2 linked regions of the Arabidopsis thaliana genome follow. The protein of the gene in region 2 interacts with the protein of the main gene of each other region in a pairwise test. Each region holds a gene or a part of one and is shown on either strand. Other genes may lie near its edges.

What was found. The genes of interacting proteins can lie anywhere in the genome.
Region 1: the proteins of MLO4 (region 2) and SUT4 interact in a protein complementation assay, tested with the Arabidopsis thaliana proteins (one large-scale study listed by BioGRID).

What each region holds. Positions count from the first base shown.
Region 1 is NC_003070.9:3,242,269-3,247,759, reverse strand, and holds SUT4 (sucrose transporter 4), read right to left. Parts: upstream 3,775-5,491; 5' UTR 3,503-3,774; coding exon 2,965-3,502; intron 2,602-2,964; coding exon 1,874-2,601; intron 1,738-1,873; coding exon 1,674-1,737; intron 1,546-1,673; coding exon 1,502-1,545; intron 1,201-1,501; coding exon 1,042-1,200; 3' UTR 1,019-1,041; intron 933-1,018; 3' UTR 544-932; downstream 1-543. UniProt on the Arabidopsis thaliana protein: Responsible for the transport of sucrose into the cell, with the concomitant uptake of protons (symport system). Can also transport maltose at a lesser rate. May also transport biotin.
Region 2 is NC_003070.9:3,671,221-3,677,810, reverse strand, and holds MLO4 (Seven transmembrane MLO family protein), read left to right. Parts: upstream 1-1,677; 5' UTR 1,678-1,757; exon of another isoform or gene 1,758-1,852; 5' UTR 1,853-1,901; coding exon 1,902-2,027; intron 2,028-2,395; coding exon 2,396-2,453; intron 2,454-2,542; coding exon 2,543-2,763; intron 2,764-2,854; coding exon 2,855-2,971; intron 2,972-3,284; coding exon 3,285-3,345; intron 3,346-3,790; coding exon 3,791-3,882; intron 3,883-4,019; coding exon 4,020-4,094; intron 4,095-4,239; coding exon 4,240-4,325; intron 4,326-4,441; coding exon 4,442-4,491; intron 4,492-4,582; coding exon 4,583-4,623; intron 4,624-4,715; coding exon 4,716-4,889; intron 4,890-4,981; coding exon 4,982-5,017; intron 5,018-5,106; coding exon 5,107-5,174; coding exon of another isoform or gene 5,175-5,244; exon of another isoform or gene 5,245-5,250; coding exon 5,251-5,311; intron 5,312-5,420; coding exon 5,421-5,876; 3' UTR 5,877-6,055; downstream 6,056-6,590. Other genes in the region: AT1G11020 (RING/FYVE/PHD zinc finger superfamily protein), read right to left, coding at 1-78, 382-843.

The sequences.
Region 1 (5,491 bases), 430 kb from region 2:
TCTGGAATCATTCACAATTTTACAAGGATAAGTATTGCTCAAGCTGTATTAGCATCTACTTATTTCTCTCAATTATTGATACGCTGCCTACAGAATCTCAATAGCATTACAGTAATTTCAATCTCAAACATCTCACTCAAGAAGAAAACTGGGATTTGCTACTATTCCTTCCTACTAGGCTTAGAGCACTTCCAATGGTTTATCTTAGGTGTATCTTAGAATAATATTTTAGAATTAAACTTTGAAAATTAAATCAAAATAAATTAAAAACTAAGATTTGCTTCTTAGCTAAGAAGTTTTCATGAGTGAAAAAAACAGTTACATGTCATGTTTCAAAATTTTAGTATAAATAATTGTTAAGATGTTTGGTTAAGAACCAATTACTTCTTAACCATTGGAGATGGTCTTAATATTCCCAAGAGTCATCCTAATCTATTGCTGACTATTGGTGGTTACTGCTACTATAGAGACTACTAGTACTCGTAATGGTTCCTTTCTACTTTTGCTACACAGATCATGTAAATTTTTTGGATCTCAGGTTTTCTTTATCAAACTAATTCTAAAGAAAATGAACTTTATAAACAGTTACAGAACTCAGGGGCCCTTACAAACACTCTGTTGTACACAGGTTTTTACATTAATTTACAACAACAACAAAAAAAACAGAGAAGATCCCGAACTGGAACTTCCAATAAAGGAGAGATGCATATACCTCACAAACTGAATGATGTATTATTTTCATTGGTTCTATGGTGCCTCGTGTATACAAGGATCATAGTCCCCAAAGTAGAGGGGATTAAGTCCTAGTAGCTGCAAATAAGTTAGTCACACGAGAAGCCATTGCACGAATTTTCGACAAGGATCACATTAAGTGTTCCATCTCCTTGCCATTTCCAAGCACTCCCCTTATGCGTTCCTCGCTTGACACTCATCTATTTCGCATTAGCCGCTTTTAATAATCAGTGACAACTTAAGTGCTTACTATGTACTTTTTGTGAAAGAATTGTGACATTATTACCTTATATAACAAAAGAGAGAATCTCATGGGAGAGGGATGGGCTTCTGAATCCTTGTCCGTGGAAGAGCCAAGATAGCTACAATTCCGCCAATGAAGCCTGTAGCTGCTCCTACTGCAAGTGCCGGTGAATTCCCACCTCCAAACAGTTGATCCCATGGGCCACTGCCAACAGACACAATTACCTGCAAACACATAAATGATTGAACAACAGAATTTGAGTTTGATGCCAAAAACCATAACCAACATAGGGAAGAAATTCATCAATCAACTAATATAGAGAAATAAAAAGTGTACTTTCATCACTGGCCAATGACCATAACTAAAAAAACGAATCGTTTATTAATGACAATTGACAAATAATGCAGTAACTCTGCTGCATGTTATGCTTATAGACTTCCTTTTACAGGCAGAAACATTCAAAGAAGAATATGATTTTGAGTTGCGGCAAATATAATGCTAAAAGGATGGTTGAAAGAAGTGTACCTGTGGGATGACTATCGCCAAATTTAGCACACCCAAAGATAAGCCTGCCACAACAGAACTTTTATAAGAAACAACACTCATATGTAGAGTAAAATCATTGAGCAGAACTTTTCTAAGAAACAACACAACAGAACTTTTATAAGAAACAACACCCAAAGATAAGCCTGCACACCTTGACCTAAGCCCAGGGATTCAATACGTATGGAAATCAACGCATATGGGACGCTGTAAGTTATCTGCAGAAGAGTAGCAATAGCATTAGTTACAGCGAAAGCGTAAATAAATTTCATCATGTTGTTACAGATGAGCAGGCAAAATATCATAAGTAATAGTGTAAGTAACATGACAGCAGAATTACAGGAGTAAACTTACCGCCAATGGAATGCCCAGAATTGTAAAGATTAACACAGCAGCAAACACGATGCTGGCAGGAGGTTGTTCATGGCCAATGTAGCCAAGGTGAGACGCAACAAATGAGGTGATTATCATTCCAAGAAAGCAAATAGCCATTAAGATATTTGATATTCCCCAAACAAAACCAGCCCCCCACTTTCTGCAAAGTTTCTCCATGAGCACAGAAGTGATTCCAAGAAAAACAGAATTCAACATCAAACCAAGTGCACCCATACTGACCCCAGCACTATATGAAGTCCCTATGTTCGGTTCACCGCCATAGATCTCTCGACCCATCCAATCAGTATCAAACAGAATAAATGGAAACCAACCAATCCATGTCAATGCTGTAACAAGCAAGATTATCCAAACATTTCCTGGAAAATATCTGAAAGTTCCAAATATCTCAGAAAGAAAAGCTTCGTCTGTTCCACTGGTTTGCCCATGTGCTTCAGAAGCCAATGAAGCAAGTGGCACCTCATGAGCCGCTGAGACGCTTAGGATCGTAGTTATTGCAATAAAGACAACATCTATGTAGAAGGCAGACTTGAGATTGGCACATTCCACATTACATGCAACTGTCTTCGTAAAAGTGAAGATCTTGTACCAACCATTGTATGATCCAGTAGCATAGCCAAGAACATTGCCAACAGCCATAAAGAGAGAGAAGTAGCCATTTGCAACTCGGGTTCTGCGATTATCATTCTCTGAAAATAAAGCAATAGGACAAGAATTAAAACACAACATATCTTTGTTTTCACTCCATGAGGTTATCACACAATCGTAGGCTACGATTAACTTCACCAAAATCCACAATTTGATTCAAGGGAAAGAGAAAAAACAAAGTCTCTGTGACTCAACGATAAGCCACCGACCAGAAACAAAGAAGGGACCTTTTGATTGTTAGGAACCAATTAGGTAATTATATAACCCCAAATTGTATCCAAAATCACAAATTTATGCATTTTCATGTTTTGCATGTGAGTGTATAATCACGAGAATCCCAAATTTACTACATTTGAATGATTTCAAATTGAAGACCCAATCAACACTAAAGTCAGGAACTTTACCAGTAAGATCAGCAAGGAGAGCTCTACAAGGACCTTGAGTCATATTATTAGCAACATCAAGAATCCAAAACCCTAAAACAAAAGCAACAATCGCCCTCGGCTTAATCTTCCCTTCTCTATCCCCAAATGCCCATCCAATATCCGCCGCATGACCAATAACCATAACAGAGATAGAAATCGCCACAGCTCCGGCGACAATAAACGGTCTCCGACGACCGTACTTACTAGTACACCTATCGCTACTATGCCCAACGAGCGGTTGCACGAACAAACCAGAGAGAGGACCGCAAAGCCAAATCACACTAGCCCAAGCGTGTGGGATCCCCAGCTCTTGAACGTAAGGTGTGAGGAGAGAAAGCTGAAGAGCCCATCCGAATTGAATCCCGCATGCGACGGAAGCTACACGGAGAAGCACACGCTTCGAAACTTTTGATCTAGGAGGAGATACAACGGGACGAGATGAAGAAGTAGAGGGTCGAGCTATTGGTGGACGGTTGCGAGTGACTCTGTGACGGCGATCTTGATCGGAAGTAGCCATTTCTCGCTTCACAGTCGTCGTGGCGTAGAGAGAGTGAAAAAGCTTAAAGTGGAGAGAAAAAGGTGGCGAAGAAGAAGATGTTGTAAGAATTCCATTGGACTAAAGGAATCTACTTTAGGAAAGTTGAGTGCTTTTTGTAAATTGTTTTAAATTTGTTGGGGAAATTGTGTAAATAATGAAAAGTGGGCACGTTAAAAGAGGGTATATAGTGTAAGGTTTGTTGTTTCTCTATGGATAAAATACATATTTTTGTTGAAACGAAATGATTTTGAGGGAGCATTCGTCATTTTCTGTTGGATCACGGGGCAAAAAGTAAGTTCCACTTACGTAAGCTGGAAGAAGAGACGTTGAGTATTCAATAACACTATCAATATGCAGTTTTGTGTTTGGAACAGAAAAAAATGTCATCTTTATTCAAAGAAAGAAGAGGGGGAAAAAAAAAAAAAAAAAAGAGAGAGAGAAAGAGTGTGCTTACGCAATTTTCAAATACATGTTCATCTACATAGACAATTTTCAAATATTCTCTTAATATGTAATTTGGTTGAGTCCGTTGTTTTAACTAATAAATTACTTAATATGGAAATTAGGTCGAAAGGATTGAGCGATCAAAATTGTTGAAATACGAAAATGACGTTATTGTTTGTTAATCAAGCTTGGGCCAATGTGAGCCGTACACGTGCTGCATGATTCAGGTTATACGGTTTAAACGTATAACACGATGGCGCCAATTTACCAAAACGTACTCTAAAATGGCATCTTTTTTATCTTTACTTATAGTCTTTTAGGCCTAATCATGTTTTAATTAGGGTAGGTGAACTGATTTTTATCTTTGTTTTTGCTCAATAGTTTAGTATGCACTTGATTGGGTTGGAATTCAGTTTTGTACCAACATTTCGTTCCCCTTTTTATGTAGTTGCTCACTCGAATCATGTTTAGGTTTATTATGGCGATATGAAATTGTAAGGTTTTGAATAATTGGACTATTTTTTGCGTTCAATTACTCACCGGGTCAAAATAAAGAAAAACGGATGATTCCACCATCATCTAAGGCAAAATGATTTTATTGCAAAAATAAGAAATTGAGAAATTCTCATTGCAAAAATGGCTTATAGAGAAACAAGAAAGGATGATGGCATGCAACTGAAGGCCCTATCCATTGAAGGAAACTCTTGTGGGCTGAACCAATAAGCTAAATAACCCAAATGAGGAAGAACAAAAACCTAAACATGAAGGCCCGTTTCTCCTTTTAATGATTTTATTCGTATAACCGCCTTAAAAAAAAGATTCAAATGAAAACAAAAATGTTTGATTAAAACTTAAAAGGCCGCAAAAGAAACACGGTTTGTGACGAAAACGTGGCCGCGTAAGCAACGAGTTGAAAAGTATCCGCGTCCGTGCGTTGCATAGCCAACTAATGCCCACCAGCTCCAAACATTTTCCAACTCTCTCTTTTTTTTTTTTTTTTTAGTTTTGCAAAACGTGTTTTCTCAGTTATTTGTCGTCACTTCTTTTCATCTAATTTTTTTGTCAAAAAAATTTGTTGCCTCTTTTATCTTTAAAGCTTGTATTGTTTTTTAATACGTACTTTATTTCTCATACGGTAGTTCTGAGAAAATGGTAAAACTGCCAAGCATTTGCAATTTTTGACGAGGAGGAATTTTAAGTAATAGAGAGAAAAATTCTATTCGTTAAATTCTTACAAGAAAAAAAAATCTTATAAGAAATTATATAATTATCTCATCAGGTTTTTAAATGAATTTGAACTCTCAATAAGGTTTACTCTAACGACTGATTTAAATGAACTTATAGTATCAACGTGCATATTCCAATTTTTTTTTTTTTGACATCTTTTCTTTTTTTGTCCGTTATTAGAGTGATGAAAGAATCTGTTGATTGAAATATGGTTGCTCGATCCCCAAGGTTGAAGTTAGAGAAAGATCTTTTCGAAGGAAGTATGAGACAACTACATGGAAAAGAAAAATCTTAAAA
Region 2 (6,590 bases):
CCAATCATCGTTGAAAGAGTTGCGAAACTCTCCGTCTTTGTCCATCATATATGCGAATCCGGCCATCACAGCGATAACCTAGAGTTTCAACAATCTTCTTATTATCAGACGTCAAAAAGATTCAGACAATCTCTATGAAAAACAAGCTTCAAAAATGGCAAGTCACAGTGAGCAAAATGAACAATTTGATAGTCATCAACTTCCATTGTCAATTTCAAGCACCCACCATGTGTACGCAGTAACCAGGTCAAGATTCGAATCTAGTTCACTTTGTGAGCCAGATTATGACATCATATAAAATTTATCCTCAGAATCTCTTAATAAATGCTTTATAATCCTCACGAAAACTATGAAGAGAAGCTGAGAGAGAGAGATACTCACAGTCTGCACAGCTAAGAAAACCAAAAGCACATCTCTTGCGACAAAGAGTCTGAATTTAGCTTTTCTACGCCACGAATTGTTATCCTCAAAGGGTTCGACTCTCAGATGAAACTGTGCTTTGCAAGTAGTACAGTGAGAGAAAGCAAAACCTTCTTTAACCGATCGCCAATGATCGAGACATGAGCGATGCACGAATTGTTGAGTGCCTTTACACATACAAGGTGAAATCAATTCATCGCCTAACAATTCACTATCGTCCTCCAAACAAATACGACAACAAGGAGCTGAAGAAGCATCGTTCTCTAAATCTTCTTCAGCCTTTATCTCATCGCTATTTCCTGCCACCACAGACGCAGCAGAAGGAGACGCCGAAGAAGAATTGGTGTGATCTCCTAACAAAGGAGCGGAATCACTTAGTTTCTGTGAATCCGGTGGCTGCAATTGTACTTCACCTTGCATCATTGATCCAAACCTTCGCTAACCCTAAATTTCAGACAAGAAATCTGTGGGTGGAAATCAATCGGTGTGATTAGAGGACTAATGATTCGAATCGAGTCAAATACATTAGCGTCTCTGTGTTCGTTGATCGGCTAGAGAATAATCGTGCGGGGATGTGAGAAGATTATTTACAGAAGTGGGAGAGAGGCAAAACATAAAACTGGAGAAGAAGGGTCAATGCGAGAGAGAAACGAAAGCTTCTTTATTTTGGGAATTGAAAATTACAGAGAAAAAGGGAAATGGGGTGAGAGAGGCTCGAACTCTCGACCTCAGGATCACTCAATAGCTATGAGACCTACGCGCTAGCCAACTGCGCCACCACCCCAATGTTGGGAATTTGTACACGTGTTAATTTATTATATCATATTCATTTATTCTCCTGGCAAAACAGTGACCGGTCCACCACAAATTGCCAAATCCTAGTATCATTAGTCAAAGCTTTGATGTACTCGTAAACTTCTAATATTAACCGCCATTTATCAGTAAAATCGGTTGAGTTGTTGCTGCTAGATTATGATTAGTAGATTGCTGCTATAAATTCGGTTTACAAAAATTGTATGAAATGGCGTAATTTTGGTTTTTGTATCTGATTATTGTTCATTTAATTCGGACAGTGATTGAATCTCTCTCCTAATTTCAATGATACGTAAACCGATTGAGATATCATCAACCCGGCTTTGTTATTATCGACTAATGGTTGTACCGGTCGGTAAAGTCCGGCTATTAAATTGCATTATTAAATTTAGGTTCTTTAACGACATTTAGGGGGAAGCACATGAATGCTGCAATAAATGAAAGAAGCAATTGAATAAAGAAAGAGAAGAGAGAAGACCGTTGGAGAAGACGAGGAAGCAACCATGTGCTTTGGTTTCTACTTGGTACAGCATTCCATGAGCTTTTTTCTTCTCTTTGACTAGTATATTTTATTGTAGAAAATTAAATGGAGGAAAAAGCTAAACTTTCTTAATCACAGATGCAGATTGATTCTCCATTTTTCTCGGGAGAAAAGTTCCTCGCCGGAGATGGAGCATATGATGAAAGAAGGAAGGTCTCTTGCAGAGACGCCGACTTACTCTGTTGCTTCGGTTGTTACTGTTTTGGTCTTTGTTTGCTTTCTCGTTGAACGCGCCATTTACAGATTTGGAAAGGTGTGTTTTTGTTTTGTATTTTTTCTTCGTGTGTGTGCCTACTATATGTTTGTTGAAATGCTCAGCTCAAAAGAATGAGTGTGAAGAACGTATTATGATTTTTTTTTTTTTTCTGCACACTTGCCACTTGGGTTAACTCTTGCTCTCCATGATTCATGAGCTGGAAATGTTTTATCTAATAATGGGTGCTAGAAAGTGAGAATTTTTATGGACGAGATGTTTCTTCTTGGAGATATGTGTTTATGCTTGCTAAATGTCAGTAGAAGTAGTGTTGATGTTTTCACTCTAAGAGAAGTCATTATTACAGGATGTGTCTTTCATGTTAGATATATATGAGGAGCTAATTTCATGTTCTGTTTTGTTTTCAGTGGTTAAAGAAGACTAGAAGAAAGGCACTTTTTACTTCACTTGAGAAAATGAAAGAGGGTATGTCAAATAAACCTGTGCTGATGTTGTGGTGCTTTATACTTTCTTTCTTTTTCGTTTGATTTTGACTTGTTAAACTTTCTTGGTAGAGTTGATGTTGCTGGGACTTATATCACTTCTGTTGTCACAAAGCGCGAGATGGATTTCAGAAATCTGTGTTAACTCTTCCCTTTTCAATAGTAAATTCTACATTTGCTCTGAAGAGGACTATGGAATCCATAAGAAAGTTCTTCTGGAACACACCTCTTCTACAAACCAGAGCTCCTTACCTCATCATGGAATACATGAAGCCTCTCATCAATGTGGTCATGTAAATATTTACTTTTTCTATCGACTTAAGAGCCTATTTTCCTTTTGACTTTTAATTATATTACTGAACTGGATGTTGGATCCAATGCCAGGGCCGTGAACCATTTGTGTCGTATGAGGGACTCGAGCAACTCCTAAGATTCTTATTCGTCCTGGGTATCACTCATGTTCTATACAGTGGCATTGCCATTGGTTTAGCCATGAGCAAGGTACACATCCTAGCTCCTAAATCTACATATGAGTGTTAAATTTGTATTCTTAAGTATTTCTATGTTGCTCCGAAAGGAAGAGATGTATTATACTTGCAATCAACTTTATCCTCATGTCTAGAGGATGTAGAGAACCTCATGATCAAATAATTAGTGGTCCTAAGTATATGTCAAATAGAAATTATCTTCAATCTGAAAATTGAGGGAAAACCTTCGATATTATCATTTATGTGCATAGAGTGTTAGTAAGATTAAGCAGACGAACATATCAATACCATCTGAAACAGTGTTGTCTTTTTATCACGTAACACAGATTTACAGTTGGAGAAAATGGGAAGCCCAAGCGATCATAATGGCTGAATCAGATATCCACGGTAAATGACAAGACTTTTCTGTCTCTCCTTCAAATTAAGGCTTGTATGTTTTTGATGGGTCTCATCTTGAGGGCACATGAGGAACTGTGTTATCTTAGGATTAAGAACAGCATGAAACTAGGATTCTGTTAAGTATTTAGGTTGTTCATTCATGAACTCACTTAAGCTGTGGAGAGGCTTTTATGCAGATTTGCAAATTTCGCTTCATCTTGACTAGCAGATCAAATCCAGTATAATCACTTATAAATACTGATATAGGAAAAATTCCTTTCTGTCCTAGTATAATCACTTATACAGGATTGAAATGAACTGTGTGGAAAAGAGATGTATCTCTGTAATTTTAGCTTTATCACAAACAGCTGATTCATTGTTAAAGATACTTAATGCCTAGGATGCTTTAGTTTCCAGTCATATATACCCTAGTCTTCTTGACTTTGTTCAACAGCAAAGAAGACCAAGGTGATGAAGCGTCAGTCTACATTTGTTTTCCATCATGCCTCTCATCCTTGGAGTAACAATCGTTTTCTCATTTGGATGGTAACTCCCCATGCTTTTACCTTAAGCTGTAATTTTTTAAAAATTTCATATCTCTAGTTAAGAACACTGTTATATTTTTCTCCAGAAGCTATTTTTACGGCATTTGTCCAGCAATAAAATATATGTTTGCATTGCAGCTTTGTTTCCTGCGGCAATTTAGAGGCTCCATACGAAAGTCTGACTACTTCGCACTTCGGTTAGGTTTCCTCACTGTGAGTAACTTTTTTATTTCGTTTCTCAGTCTTTCCTTCAAATTTAAAATATAACTTTCTAGTAATTTCTCAAGAATTCTCATCTAATCTGGTAGCTGACATGATTAGTTTTCTGAATCCGGTCTTCATTACTTTAAAATTTCAGAAACATAATTTGCCATTTACATACAACTTCCATATGTATATGGTACGGACGATGGAAGATGAGTTTCATGGCATTGTTGGAATTAGGTATGCGTTTCTGAGAATTGAGATCTTATCAAAGACTCTTTATTCAACTGTTTTCAGAAGATTTCGTAAGGGAGTTACAGAATGGGACTGATGAATGTTTCTTGATGAATCAACAGCTGGCCACTTTGGGTTTACGCTATAGTATGCATCTGCATAAATGTTCATGGTAACTTATCGGTTCAATAAATACAAACTACATTCCATTTCTATCTCCACATTAAAGCTTTGTCTTTACTAATTCAGTGATTTCCTTGCAGGCCTGAATATGTACTTTTGGATATCATTCGTTCCTGCCATTGTAAGTAAAAGCAAGATTAAGTAAAAAGCTTGAAATTCATAAGGCAGTACTAACACTCAGAGCATGTGTTTGTATCTGTTTTGTTGTCTAAGCTTGTCATGTTGGTTGGAACCAAACTTGAGCATGTTGTCTCCAAGCTTGCTCTCGAGGTTAAGGAGCAGCAGACAGGCACATCTAATGGGGCTCAAGTCAAACCACGTGATGGGCTCTTCTGGTTTGGGAAACCAGAAATTCTGCTACGGTTGATACAATTTATCATTTTTCAGGTAAGCAAAAAGACTTTTCCTTTCTCAATTCTTCAAGCCATGATATTACTCTATTCACACAGATGATCCTTATATATTTCCTGCTAATGCAGAATGCATTTGAAATGGCAACATTCATCTGGTTCTTGGTAAGGCCACCTTATAAAATGCATCAATACTTAAATCAGCTATGCAAAGTTTTTCAGTTTTTGAGAAGATCATCAATTTCATGTATCAGTGGGGAATCAAGGAAAGATCTTGCTTCATGAAGAACCATGTGATGATATCAAGCCGGCTAATTTCTGGGTGCGTTTCAAATACACAACAATTCGCAGCAACACACTGTCTCTTAAGATTTTTTTTTTCTTTCTGGTGAATGCAGGGTTCTCGTTCAGTTCTGGTGTAGTTATGGCACTGTGCCTCTCAATGTAATCGTTACTCAGGTTCGTCAAAACCTTTCATATATCTACAATTCCACAATCTTAAGCCTATCCAAGTCTGTGACTAAACATCGTTCATAAAAACTCTATGGTTTCACCTGAATCTGAACAGATGGGATCTCGGCATAAGAAAGCTGTGATAGCAGAGAGCGTAAGAGACTCACTTCACAGTTGGTGCAAGAGAGTGAAAGAGAGGTCTAAGCACACGAGATCAGTGTGTTCCCTTGACACAGCAACAATAGACGAGAGAGACGAGATGACAGTGGGGACATTGTCTAGGAGCTCATCGATGACTTCACTGAATCAGATTACCATAAACTCCATAGACCAAGCAGAGTCTATATTCGGAGCAGCAGCTTCATCCAGCAGTCCTCAAGATGGATACACGTCGAGGGTGGAAGAATATCTGTCTGAAACATACAATAACATCGGTTCGATACCGCCTTTAAACGATGAGATTGAGATTGAGATTGAAGGTGAAGAAGATAATGGAGGGAGAGGAAGTGGGAGTGATGAGAATAACGGTGATGCTGGAGAAACACTTCTTGAGTTGTTTAGGAGGACTTGATCTTGTTTCTGCTTTTAGAAGCTTGGTTCAGTTGTAATTACTTGACATCCATACAAGAATAACAATTAACAAAGTAAATCTTTTGTTGGTCCAGTAAAAAAAAGTATTCAATGATCAAAGTACATCTTTTGTTGGTTCAGAGGTAAATTTAAAATATAATAGCATGGATTGGAACGAGATATTATGGCATTAGGAAACTTTTTGATTATGGCAGTATAAACAAAGACCACAAATTATGGCAGCTATACATATATTGATTTCAAAACAGAGATAAAGACTTGTCACCTGTCATTTGATTATTTATGAATTTACCTCTGCAGCATTTTCCTTCTTCTGTGCAGTCACGCCTACCGATGGATTTGATTAATTTCCTGTCGATTATTACTAAGTTGTATTTCTAGTAAATACAACTTAAAAGTAGTTTTGTACTCGGTCTTAAAACTAGTTTTGTACATAGTTTTTGAGTAAGATACTTTGTTTTTTTTGGGACAAAGAGTAAGTTAGTAATATCAAATTTTATCATAGTGATTGTTAATTTATGTCAACTACGAAATTAAGAAGTTATCAAATCTGATTTGAGTTATGATAACAATGTCATTGATAGACTCGGTCAATTATGGCATTAAGAAAATCTAAGGATTTAAGTAACCAGGTATCAATTATTACCGCCGTTGGTATTGACTTTTAAATAAGACTTGCCAGTTGTCACACACA